Linked DNA regions of Arabidopsis thaliana. The protein of the gene in region 1 interacts with the protein of each later gene in a pairwise test. Each region holds a gene or a part of one and is shown in the gene's direction. Other genes may lie near its edges. The genes, in order: RLF, ADT4 and ADT5.

Evidence for each region.
Region 2: the proteins of RLF (region 1) and ADT4 interact in a two-hybrid assay, tested with the Arabidopsis thaliana proteins (one large-scale study listed by BioGRID).
Region 3: the proteins of RLF (region 1) and ADT5 interact in a two-hybrid assay, tested with the Arabidopsis thaliana proteins (one large-scale study listed by BioGRID).

The regions. Positions count from the first base shown.
Region 1 is NC_003076.8:2,998,694-3,002,713, reverse strand, and holds RLF (reduced lateral root formation), read left to right. Parts: upstream 1-2,055; 5' UTR 2,056-2,110; coding exon 2,111-2,236; exon of another isoform or gene 2,237-2,516; coding exon 2,517-2,567; intron 2,568-2,668; coding exon 2,669-2,984; intron 2,985-3,071; coding exon 3,072-3,352; 3' UTR 3,353-3,519; downstream 3,520-4,020. Other genes in the region: MGT7 (magnesium transporter 7), read left to right, coding at 60-183, 325-446, 536-610, 768-998, 1,062-1,106, 1,181-1,225, 1,311-1,340, 1,430-1,549 and 1 more.
Region 2 is NC_003074.8:16,269,794-16,274,047, forward strand, and holds ADT4 (arogenate dehydratase 4), read left to right. Parts: upstream 1-1,717; 5' UTR 1,718-1,965; coding exon 1,966-3,240; 3' UTR 3,241-3,620; downstream 3,621-4,254. UniProt on the Arabidopsis thaliana protein: Converts the prephenate produced from the shikimate-chorismate pathway into phenylalanine.
Region 3 is NC_003076.8:7,522,209-7,526,810, forward strand, and holds ADT5 (arogenate dehydratase 5), read left to right. Parts: upstream 1-1,877; 5' UTR 1,878-2,436; coding exon 2,437-3,714; 3' UTR 3,715-4,062; downstream 4,063-4,602. UniProt on the Arabidopsis thaliana protein: Converts the prephenate produced from the shikimate-chorismate pathway into phenylalanine.

The DNA.
Region 1 (4,020 bases):
ATTTTGTCTCCTTTTGAAGTGATGATGGCTTGATTTGGTTATTTGAAAATGCTTTTTAGGTTTTGATCCGAGATTCGTCAGATGAAAATGTTATCCCCGTCCTGGAGGAGTTTCAGAGAAGATTACCTGTAGGAAACGAGGCACATGGTGTTCACGGAGATGGTGATTTGGGTGAAGAAGATGGTACCCCTCAAGGCCTCAACTTTTGTTATTTTAAGGATATAAATTGGAAAAATCTTTGATCTTTTGATGCCTACATAAGAACTAATGAACCATTCACTCTTTTCACTTTTGGTATTGAAGTGTTTGTTTGTTACTATATAGAATCCCCGTTTGAATTCCGGGCGCTAGAGGTGGCCTTGGAAGCTATTTGTAGTTTTCTAGCTGCAAGGACAACAGAACTAGAGAAGTTTGCTTATCCTGCTTTGGATGAACTTACCTTGAAGGTAGCTAACTCAGCAATTATTGTCATCACTGATCTAATTCCAACTTCATTTAACTCCATTCAGTCGATGAGAACCGTTTCATTTTGTAGATAAGTAGCCGTAACTTGGAAAGAGTTCGTAAATTGAAGAGTGCCATGACCCGTTTGACAGCTCGGGTCCAAAAGGTGAGTATGTTTCACTGGTAAACAGAGTCTATGTTTAGAACTTGTGTTGCCACATATACTATGAGTATGAAGCTTCCTCACATATGTCAAGTGAACATTCAAGATATACGATAGTGGAACAGAGAAGAATTAATCTCTCTCGTCGCTTTTTTTTCAGGTAAGGGATGAGCTTGAACAGTTGTTGGATGATGATGGTGATATGGCTGATCTCTACCTTACAAGGAAGCTTGTTGGTGCATCTTCATCTGTCAGCGTTTCAGATGAACCCATTTGGTATCCTACTTCCCCAACAATAGGTTCTATGATTTCCAGAGCAAGTAGAGTGAGTTTAGTCACGGTTCGTGGAGACGACGAAACTGATGTTGAAGAGCTTGAAATGTTGCTTGAGGTAATACTTGTTTCCAGCTACATATGAAGTATAAACAACCATTAATGTGATTTTTGTTAATAGGCATACTTCATGCAAATAGACAGCACTTTGAACAAATTAACCGAGGTATTGTATCTTCTTGTTCCTGTTTCGTCTTTGTGGTATCTCCGACTTAGAAAGTATAATTGAACATGATGCAGCTACGCGAGTATATTGATGACACAGAGGATTACATTAACATCCAGGTAACCAAAAATGAAAAGTCAGAATTTCTTAAATGTTGTGAAAATGTAATTTCTCTTACAGGCTATAATCACTGTTTATTTGCAGTTAGACAATCATCGAAATCAGCTGATTCAGGTGAGTGAATATAAAAGAAAAGCTCAGGATTATTAAAGTTTTTTTAAATTTTTTTTGATGTGTATGAAAAGCAATAAAATTCTCTGCAGTTAGAGCTAATGTTAAGCGCAGGAACCGTCTGTGTATCAGTGTACTCTATGATCGCCGGAATATTCGGCATGAACATTCCCAACACATGGAACCACGACCATGGTTACATTTTCAAATGGGTACGAGTCACATTTCAGTTTCCACCAGAATGGAACACCTTAACCTGATGATATCATTGGTATGTGTTTTTTGTTGTTGTTGATGAAGGTCGTAAGTCTCACGGGAACATTTTGCATAGTCTTGTTCGTGATTATACTGTCGTACGCTCGGTTTAGAGGACTCATCGGATCTTAATGACAAGAGAGGACAATTTGGTACATATTTTATAGCAGAGAATGTGAGAGCAGATCTTGTTTTTTGGGGTCTCTTCTCGCCAGCATTTTCGTTACTAAGTGATGGGATTGCATAATTTGTACTGTGTGACTACATTTTTTTTTCTGGTTAACAGTAAATTGTAACTTCTTGATACCAACCCAAATTAAGGAGCCGAGATAGATAACCGAACAAAACCAAAAAATACGAAGACCTTTACACAAAACCGGGACCAAATTACAAGTTCGGATTGAATATCTCTGACCTGAACCGAACCAAAATTGTATCGGATATCCAACAACCCCAAAACAAAACCGAATTAGACCGATTCGAATTTGGTATTTTGATTGCAGCCTCCAGAGAAGAACATGATTATTCTCATAAGAATCCTTGACGGCCAATTAGATCTCTCCCTCTTTCGTCGCTCTTTGTTTTCTCCACTGGTCTTTGTTTCTCCTTTGATTCTCTGTCTGGAGCAGTCTCAGATCCACCAGGTATCTATCCAATTTTCTTCTAGTACATCTGATTTCCCTTGTTATTGTTTGCTTGATATGGATTCATGAATCAGAATTGCAAATCTGTTTTTGTTAGATTAAAGTTTCCGAATTTAAGAAATTCCCACCCAATAATCCCTATTATCGTCACCTTTAGACTTTGCTTTTGCCTCCAACTTTCGTTTGTTTAGATCTTCGTCTTCTTCTTCCCGTGAGTGCTTTACATAGACTTTAGGTTTTGTTTCTAACTGATACGAATTGTTATGCAAACTGCGTGCAGATTAAGCTCAAGATGGATACTAGTAGAGATGATGATTTCACATTCTCAAAGGTTGGTTAGTTTCCACTCATTTCTTCATGATTTCAATGTTTATGAAACGTGAAAGTTCTAGACTTTTATGATTGATTCTTGGTTTGTTTTCAATTTTGAAGGTTTCACCACCAGATAGTGAAGTTAAAGATCTTGCATCAGATGTAGGTAGTATTACCCTTAAAGATGGGTTAGATCAACAAAAAAGCAATGGTCTTATTTGGAAAGACAAGTCTCTTCCTCCAAAGGAAGAAACAATAGGTTCTTTGTCTTTCACGGTGACTGATTCTTCGTCTTCGAAAAAGCAATCCAATGAATCCTCTGAGACTTTCAAAACTCCAGCTAGAAAGCCTATCACTCGTACCAAGGTTCCATTTGAAAAGGGTTATAGCCAAATGGATTGGTTGAAACTTACACGAACACATCCCGATCTTGCAGGTAAGCAAAGCTTTCTTTTCTTAGTCCTCTTTTTCCTAAATACATTTTGATGTGTTGGTTAATGAAAGAGACAATTTGTTTATGCAGGCCTGAAGGGAGAGTCAAACAAGAGGCTTATTCCAATGGATGAAGTAAAGAAACACCGAACAGGAGATTCGATGTGGACTGTTTTGAAAGGTCGTGTATACAACATATCGCCTTATATGAATTTTCATCCTGGAGGTGTCGATATGCTGATGAAAGCGGTTGGAAGAGACGGTACGCTCTTATTCAACAAATACCATGCCTGGGTCAATGTTGATATCTTACTTGAGAAATGCCTTGTTGGAGTTTTGGATGATACCAAAGTGAAGAAGCAAGAACCCTAATTGCTATTGCTAAAAGAGTTCACTCTTGTAGAGAATTCATACATAAGTCAATAAGAATTTTTTAATGTTTACATTCTGATTCTTCAAATGTAAACTCTGATTACAATATGTACTGTATTAGAAATTTATAATTTTTGGTGTCAATATATTCAAAGTTTCCATATCAGTGGCATCATGTTCTCTTTTCTTTTACAATATTTCAGAATGGCAAATTATAGATGAGTAAATAGAATCTACACAAATTTCGGAATGGATTATAGGGTAAACCAGAACAAAGTTGATGTCTTAAAAACAAATTCCATTACAAGTTTTGTTTTAGCAAACTATCAAATCCCCAATCAGAAGTGAGGGCTAAAAGACCGAGGGTAGTTTAGGTATTTCACATTGTAGACAAAACCTGACTCCTCGACGCTTATAATAATTCCACTATCATATTTGCCAATTTGCCAATAATCTTTTTGTCTTCTATCTTCGACACCTGTTTCTGAAATCTTCTTCTTGTCTTCTCCTTGGAATTCTATCTGTGAGCCCGAGTTTCAGATCCACCAGGTATTTGAATTCTCTTCTTCATCCTTCATTCTCTTACTCACCTTATACATCTAAATTTTCTTCTGGATTTTTATCATTAATTTTGCTTAATCTGAGTTCATGACTTACTAATAATAATG
Region 2 (4,254 bases), on another chromosome or scaffold:
TGGTCATTAAAAAATTTAAAGAGGGTAGAAATGAAAATGACAAATAGGAAAGAGTATAATTAAAAAAGGATAATGTGAAAAGGTCATTTTCAGCAATTATTCAGAAAAGAATATAAGATAATGATTCTGTCGGAAAATTCAATGTTACACTTTTTTTTTACGGAAACAAGATTTTGTTACTTTTTACGGGATGACATAGTTTGCGACTTTTACTGGAAAACAGTTTAAGTAAAAAAATCACAAATTTAGGGATTTTGGCATAAAACACACAATTTTGCGGTTTTTTGTAGTAGAAACGGATTCAATATCCAAGATCCTGAAATATGTTATCAGTCAAATACAAATCATGTATATAAATATATGCTCCCGAAATGACAGATCATAGATCACCTTCCGAGTTTCGTAAAACAGTATTCACTTTGTTAATTAATTACCAAATATTTTCACCAAAGCGAACAAATAATAGACATCGTCAAAAATGAAAATGACCAACAACTTCATAAATCATAATAAATACAAAACCATTTACTATATATGTGTCCATTATGGTCTGCGCATGCTCTCACAGCTTGGCGATTGTGTCAAAGTAAAAGAAGGTGAGCTGAACCGTGTTATTCGTGGACATATAAAATTCCACATATGAGAAAGTGAACTTTGGGCCTACTATATATTTTCGTAATCAAAATTTTTATTAATTTCTGAATTCATTTATCCTCTATATATTAAATTATTAATAGAGAATCACACTTAAAAAACAAAATTTAGTTACAGTCGTATTTACAGAAATGCCAGCTGATGTGTCAGAGCAATTCTCAATCAATTTACTTCATTGTCCCTCATTTACTAGATCATTTATAAAATTTATCATTAGTAGTACATATAAATATCTCAATAACAGAAACAATAAAAAGTAAATCCAATTAAAAGTAGTAAATAATTAAAAAAAGAAATTCCAATTAAAATAATCTAATAATTAAGCAAGTAATATTTCAGAACTTAATATAGAACTACTTTCGTTTTTATATAGAAACATAAATCATATGTTAACAAAAATATTAATATAGTACTACTTTCATTTTTCTAATCAGATATTACCAATACATTTATAAATAAAGTTTTTTCCAAAAATAATATCAATTACACTTAAGTAAATTATAAATATTCAGAAGATTCTAAAAATATAATTTTAATTTAATTTAATAAGAAAATTATAAAAATAATAACTAATATATTTATACATATTTAATAACAATCAATATACGGGCAATAATAATTTTAATGCAAAAACTAGATGGTTCAAAAAAAAAATATTACATTAAATAATACACAGGCAAATTTCAGATTTCAAATAATAAAAAATTTACTATAATATATTTATCCCACACATAGTGCGGATAAACTATCTAATTTTTCTTGAAGTAGGTAACTAAGTTTTAATTGAAAAACAAACAATTAAAAAACTATATATATATATATACATATGTATATATAATAATAGAATATTCAATACTTTTTAAGAGAAATTTTACCATCCACTGCTCAAAAGAAACACCAATGATCTTGATATTTGTAGAAAAATCTATGGACGTAACACCAACAATACAAAACCATGGTAAGAACTAAGAAGAAATGAAGAATATCGCTTTCACGTAAACCAACAATATCATATATTTCAATAAAGACAACTATTATTATAGTTTTCAGAAAGAAAAAAAAGTATAGAAATTACATGGAAGGTGGTAGGTGAAGGATTTTACCGAATTACATACGTCAAGACTAATTTTGTCAAAAACAAAACAAAATTTATTCTTGTGTGTTAGTGTGTATATAAGACCATCTCTCTTCTCCTTTATCTCTCAGCTTGAGCTTCTCTCTCAACGAAAGAACTCAAGCTTTCCAACACTATAAATCTATAATACAGCTTTTATTCTCAAATTTTGTTTGTCTTACCATCATTACCAAACCATGCAAGCCGCAACGTCGTGTGATCTCAAGTTCCGATCAACAGATCCGACGTCTAGGAACAAATGTTTCTCCCACGCGATTCCAAAGCGCGTGGCTGTTACGTGCGGTTATAGGTCGGAGTCGTTTAGCTTCCCTAACGGTGTCTCCGTGAGTCGATCTGATTGGCAAAGCTCATGTGCCATTTTATCTAGTAAAGTTGCTTCTGTTGAAAATACCGGTGGTTTAGCGGACAAAATCGCCGCCGTTAATGGTCACACGAACGGCTCTGTGAATCTTGGTCTCGTCGCCGTTGAGTCAACTAACGGAAAGTTAGCTCCTGCTCAGCCGTTGACTATTACTGATCTATCTCCGGCACCGTTGCATGGTTCTAGTCTACGTGTAGCTTACCAAGGCGTTCCCGGAGCTTACTCGGAAGCAGCTGCCGGAAAAGCTTATCCCAATTGCGACGCCATTCCTTGTGACCAGTTTGACGTTGCTTTTCAGGCGGTGGAGCTTTGGATCGCTGATCGAGCTGTGCTTCCGGTGGAGAACTCACTCGGTGGTTCGATCCATCGAAACTATGATCTTCTTCTCCGTCACCGTCTTCACATCGTTGGAGAAGTTCAGATTCCGGTCCACCATTGCCTCCTCGCACTCCCGGGAGTCCGAACTGACTGTGTTTCGCGGGTGATCTCTCACCCGCAAGCCCTAGCGCAGACGGAACACTCCCTCGACGTCCTTACACCACATGCAGCGCGTGAGGCTTTCCATGACACAGCGGCTGCTGCGGAGTATATCTCAGCTAACGACCTACATGACACGGCGGCTGTGGCGAGCGCACGCGCCGCTGAGCTTTACAACCTCCAGATATTAGCGGATGGGATTCAAGACGACCCGGGGAACGTCACTCGTTTCCTAATGTTGGCGCGTGAGCCTATAATCCCACGCACGGACCGGCCATTCAAGACTAGCATCGTCTTTGCTGCCCAAGAGCACAAAGGAACTAGCGTCCTCTTTAAAGTCCTCTCGGCTTTCGCTTTCAGAGACATTAGCCTGACCAAGATCGAGTCCCGGCCTCACCATAACCGCCCGCTTAGGGTTGTTGGTGACGGGAGCTTTGGGACGTCGAAGAACTTCGAGTACATGTTTTACGTGGATTTTGAGGCATCGATGGCTGAGCCGCGTGCACAGAACGCGCTTGCGGAGGTTCAAGAGTACACGTCGTTCCTAAGGGTGCTGGGAAGTTACCCCATGGATATGACACCATGGTCCATGACATCCACAGAAGAAGCATGACCCCATCGCCAAAAACAAACTCACCAATAAATTTATTAAATTATTCTGTTCTTTCTTTTTTTGTGAAAATTGTAGTATACATTGAAATTAAACCGTAAATGTAGAGCTCATTATTCACGTGGTGATTAGGAGAAAACAAAATTTTATTTGTCTGTTACTAGCTACCAGATATATCTTACATTCTTACTTAATAGTTATGAACATTGTGGTTTATTCGCAGAATCTTTTTGAGTTCCTTGGTTTTCTTTGGTAAATTCACTCGATTTTAACCAAGAAAAGCAAAAATGATTGGCATTACCAAAAACAAAGACATATATTTACACATATTTTTTAGAAAAATGTGATCAGTTTTGTAACTTTGTTTATCTTAACAACGTTATTAGTATTTTTACTACAAATTTCTATTAAATCATATTTTTAGTAGAGATGATCCTAATATTTTCTTCAATATCAAAAGCTTAAGACCAAATTCTTTTATGTAATTATCAGCATAATGTTGTTACTAAAACTTTCTGTTAGGACTTCATCTCAAGTTCACTAAGCTCAACCACAACATATGTATACCATTAAACAATCGCTTACATGATAAAAAAAAGTAAACCAATGAAAATGAATGTGAATAAAAATCAACTTATCATATTTAATATACAATACAAAGATTTTGTTCGAAGTTTATATAATATTCACAAAACAAGTCTCCATTATTGTAGTTGGTGATATAATTTCCAACATCATTAAAATATTTTGTGAAGATTTCCTTGAAGTTTTCACGAGTAGATACAAAAAAAAAAAGTTATGGTCACCGGTCACGTGTGAACTCAACTCAAGGGTTCAACGTTTGGTTTCTAGGTGAGTCGCAAGAAATTAGCAATATAATTTCCAAGAAACTTACATGTTGAATCTAGTAATAATTCACATGTAAATCGGAAGCTATAAACAGCGCCGATTATTAATAATCTACTGTCTTAAAACAAAAGAAATAAATATGGTTCTATAACAAAAAAAGATTTGGGA
Region 3 (4,602 bases), 4.5 Mb from region 1:
CAGCATGCTTAGGTGCAATGTTAGATAGTCCCACTTGGGTTTCACCAACTTTGCCATATTAAACCTTTACAAGTTTATGAATTAAAAAAGGTTTCAACAACCCCATCGATAAATCTTTTACGGCCAACAATTGCTTGTTGATTGTTTACTTATGTTATAAAACGATATTATTTTCAATATATTATGAATATGTGTTTTCTTTTTTCAAAACGAAGAAAATAAACTAGAAATATTTATATTAGAAGCTGGGCTTCACTTTTGAGACCTGAGGTCACACCTATATATCTTTAACTTTAACGAGAAGAAACATATATATGACACACGAATTACATAATCGTGGCATATTGGAGCTGTTGTTACTTGTTAAGTTGTCAGTGATTCTTTTATTTCCTGCATTCTAATAATTTATTATACATAATATTTCGGTATAATTTAGTACATAAACTTATATTAGCGTCATAATTTTTTAGTATAAATTAGTATGTAAACTTTTTGTTAGCATCACTGCATCACATGAGAATCTCTTTTTCTCATTGATAAATGGCTTAATCAATGGGTTAAAAAGTAGGGTATGCAATCAATATACATTCTATTAGAGTTAGAGATATAGATTATATATATCTTAGGATAATCTACATCCACAAATATGTCTCACTAGATTTTTGTATGTCTTATGTGTTGTCATATGATAAAACACTAAATTAGATGTATTACCTACATATATGTCTCTCTAGTTCTTTGTGTGTATGTGGTTGTTCGAGTTGGGCCACTGTACTAGGTTTCCTTCAATGGTGCAGATCGATCAGGTTTGTTCGAGTGGGTTGCTGTACTAGGTTTCCTTCAATGGTGCAAATCAGGTTTATTCTGATTTCTGAGGCTAGTATAATCTAGCTTCTTAAGGAAAAACCCACTTTATGTTTTAAATTTTTTTGAGCCATACAATTATTTATTTATTGTTAGGCGACTAATTAATTATTGATTAATGTATGAAGATAAACAAAAAAGGTATATAAGAGCATATATTTTAAAGATATTAAGGATATAGATCGATCACTCTCATAATCTTAATTATGTATATAAAGATTTATTTTTAAAACACCCAAAATTGAAAATTGAAAGTCTGCATCCACATAAACTTAAAACTAAAGAAAGGTTGGTTTGAAAGATCAAATCAGGTGAACCAGGTCTCATTGTATAGGCTTATGGTTTAGATTATTGTTCGGAGTGAAAATAATATGGTATATATATATATGGTTTAATTATTGTTGGGTTTAAAATAAATAATTAACTAGTTTGACTACCATAAATAATATGTGATATATTTATCAATTTATATTAAGTATTTTATACAAGAGAATACATCTAAATTTTAAAATGAAAAAAAATAATATACGAATGTAAATATCCAAATTTAGGGAGCGATATGGATTGGACCATGTTCCATGGATACCTTTGCACATATAGTTCGTCTTCTAACTTTTAAAATTATATTATTTTATCATTTGAAAAGGTTATTATAGTTTTTTTGGGTTATTATATCAAAATGACAACTTATGCTAAATGTTTCTTCTTACTATTTTCATTCTAGGAATTTTTTACAATCATTATCCAGTACTAGACTCATATCCCATGCATGAATTTTATTCGGTAATTATTTACAATGTGTAGATAGAGAAACAATAATAATGGGGATCAACAATTTGACTATATGATAAAAATCGATCTTTGTCTTCATTCAAAAGAAAAACCTTAACCAATAAATAACCACCACATAGTTACTTGATACTAAATTACTAATCCACATATTCATACACATGGTCTCTTTTTTTAATATGGTTCTTTTAGTTACCTTGTTTAGTAATCTAGTTTTAAGGATAAAATTTAGAAAATCAAAATAGAAACTTGAAAACATAGCAAAATCTCGAAAGAACGTTAGCATTCGATTATGAGACCACATATGCAAAGCTGCCACGTATGGTCCATTTATCCATAAATCTGCTAATGACATTATCTTATTATGAAAAAAGATCTTTACTCACAATTAGCAGCAATAAATCTTTAAAAGGCCTCCACTGATTAACACGTACCGAGAAATTCACCATTTTTTTCCTAACAAAGCAAAGTGAACATATTCAAATAAAAACAACTTTATAATATAAACAACAAATATCGTTCAGGAAAATCAAATGAAATGTGGTAGGTGAAGGATTTGACGGAACTACCCTTCAAGACACGTCAAGACTTTCTTTCTTTTACAACATTCCACTATATAAACACTTCCTTCTCCACCATCATCTCTCAGCTTGCAAGTTCTCTCTGAACCATAGAACTCCAAGCTTGAACTGTACTCTACTCGTCGTTTATATCTTACTCTTTTGTTTCCTCTTACCAGAAAAAATAAATAAACAGCAATTTTTTCATTTTTCGACTCAAATCATGCAAACCATTTCGCCTGCGTTCTCGTGCGATCTCAAATCCGTAATTCAACCGAATCTAACGGCTAAGAAAGCGCGTTACTCTCACGTAAATGGAAAGCGCGTGTCTGTTCGTTGCAGTTACAGGTCTGAGTCGTTTAGCTTCCCTAACGGTGTTGGCTCAAGCCGAGCCGATTGGCAAAGCTCATGCGCCATCTTAGCCAGTAAAGTAGTTTCGGCTGAGAATTCAAGCTCCGTCGCCGTCGTTAACGGACACAGTAACGGCTCCGTTGATTTAAGCCTTGTTCCGTCAAAGTCGCAGCACAACGGAAAGCCTGGATTGATTCAGCCGTTAACGATAACAGATCTATCTCCCGCGCCGTCTCATGGATCTACTCTTCGTGTCGCGTATCAAGGAGTTCCGGGAGCGTACTCCGAAGCGGCCGCCGGAAAAGCTTACCCAAACTCCGAAGCTATTCCTTGTGATCAATTCGACGTTGCGTTTCAGGCGGTGGAGCTTTGGATCGCCGATCGTGCTGTTCTCCCAGTTGAGAACTCTCTCGGTGGTTCGATTCATAGAAATTACGATCTTCTCCTCCGTCACCGTCTCCACATCGTCGGAGAAGTTCAGATCCCGGTTCACCACTGTCTCTTAGCTCTTCCCGGAGTTCGTACGGATTGCATCACGCGAGTGATTTCGCATCCTCAAGCTCTGGCTCAGACGGAAGGATCGCTCAACAAACTCACTCCAAAAGCAGCGATTGAAGCGTTTCACGACACAGCCGCGGCGGCGGAATACATCGCTGCTAACAACCTCCACGACACGGCGGCGGTAGCGAGCGCAAGAGCAGCTGAGCTCTACGGACTTCAGATTCTCGCCGACGGGATCCAAGACGACGCAGGAAACGTCACGCGCTTCCTTATGTTGGCGCGTGATCCGATCATTCCCCGTACCGATCGTCCGTTTAAAACGAGTATCGTTTTCGCAGCTCAAGAACATAAAGGAACTAGCGTTTTATTCAAAGTGCTTTCCGCGTTTGCGTTTCGAAACATTAGTTTGACGAAAATCGAATCGCGGCCGCATCAGAATTGTCCCGTTAGAGTCGTAGGCGACGAAAACGTTGGAACATCGAAGCACTTTGAGTACACATTCTACGTCGACTTCGAAGCGTCGATGGCGGAGGCGCGTGCACAAAACGCGTTAGCGGAGGTGCAAGAGTACACGTCATTCCTCAGGGTGCTGGGAAGTTACCCAATGGATATGACGCCATGGTCCACGTTACCTAGCGAAGACGTATGACACAATTAAAAAATTTATCTGAATTTTAAATAACATTATGGTAAAATTATCATAAGTAAAATACATGGAAACTAAAGTAGAATTTGTAGAACTCGTTTTGCATGTGAAGTGGGAGGATAATATTATTTTATTTCTCTTAAACCAAATATTTTGTGTGTATGTATTTGCTACTATTGGAACAAGACCGGTTTGTAGTTTGGTTCTGATGATTACAATTGAAGATATTTCTTAAGCTAAGCACATTTTAATTCTCATATTTTTTTCGTAGTAAAAATTAGAGAACCTAATATATACCTTAATTTGTAACGGAATTTGTTATAGCAGAATCATTAACAATAATCTTTGAAGCTATGCTCTAAGACTCCCCACGTACGTTAACCAACAGAACAAGAAAGACTTTCAGATTCTAAACTATAAAGTTATTAAATTACAAGTTATATTACAAAAGTCGAAATTAATGTGTGAACACGAGTTCGGTTTGATGTTTCTTGCTTTGAAACAAAAGTATAATCATCCATCTGGTCGTGTATATACGTACTATGCCAACTTCCATGAATTTTCACTGATTAGTTTATTAAAGTTCTCAACTATCTTCAGGAAATTCAGTTCGAGTTGCTAAAGAATTGGGCATATAATTTCCACGAAACTTTGCATTTGATAGATAATTTAACATGACTTGACTATTTATACTAGATATGTGTAATTTCCCACCTATCTTTTAGGGTCTAAACATTTTTGCATGCCAAAAGAGTTAGGTGTGGTGGAAGCTACCATATGCTCTTAACATCCATCTTCTAGAATTATAATCTTCGATTGTAAGCCTGAACATTTTCATTTTTATGAGATATTTAAATTTTTAGCAAAACAAAAAATTGGCATATGAGTTTC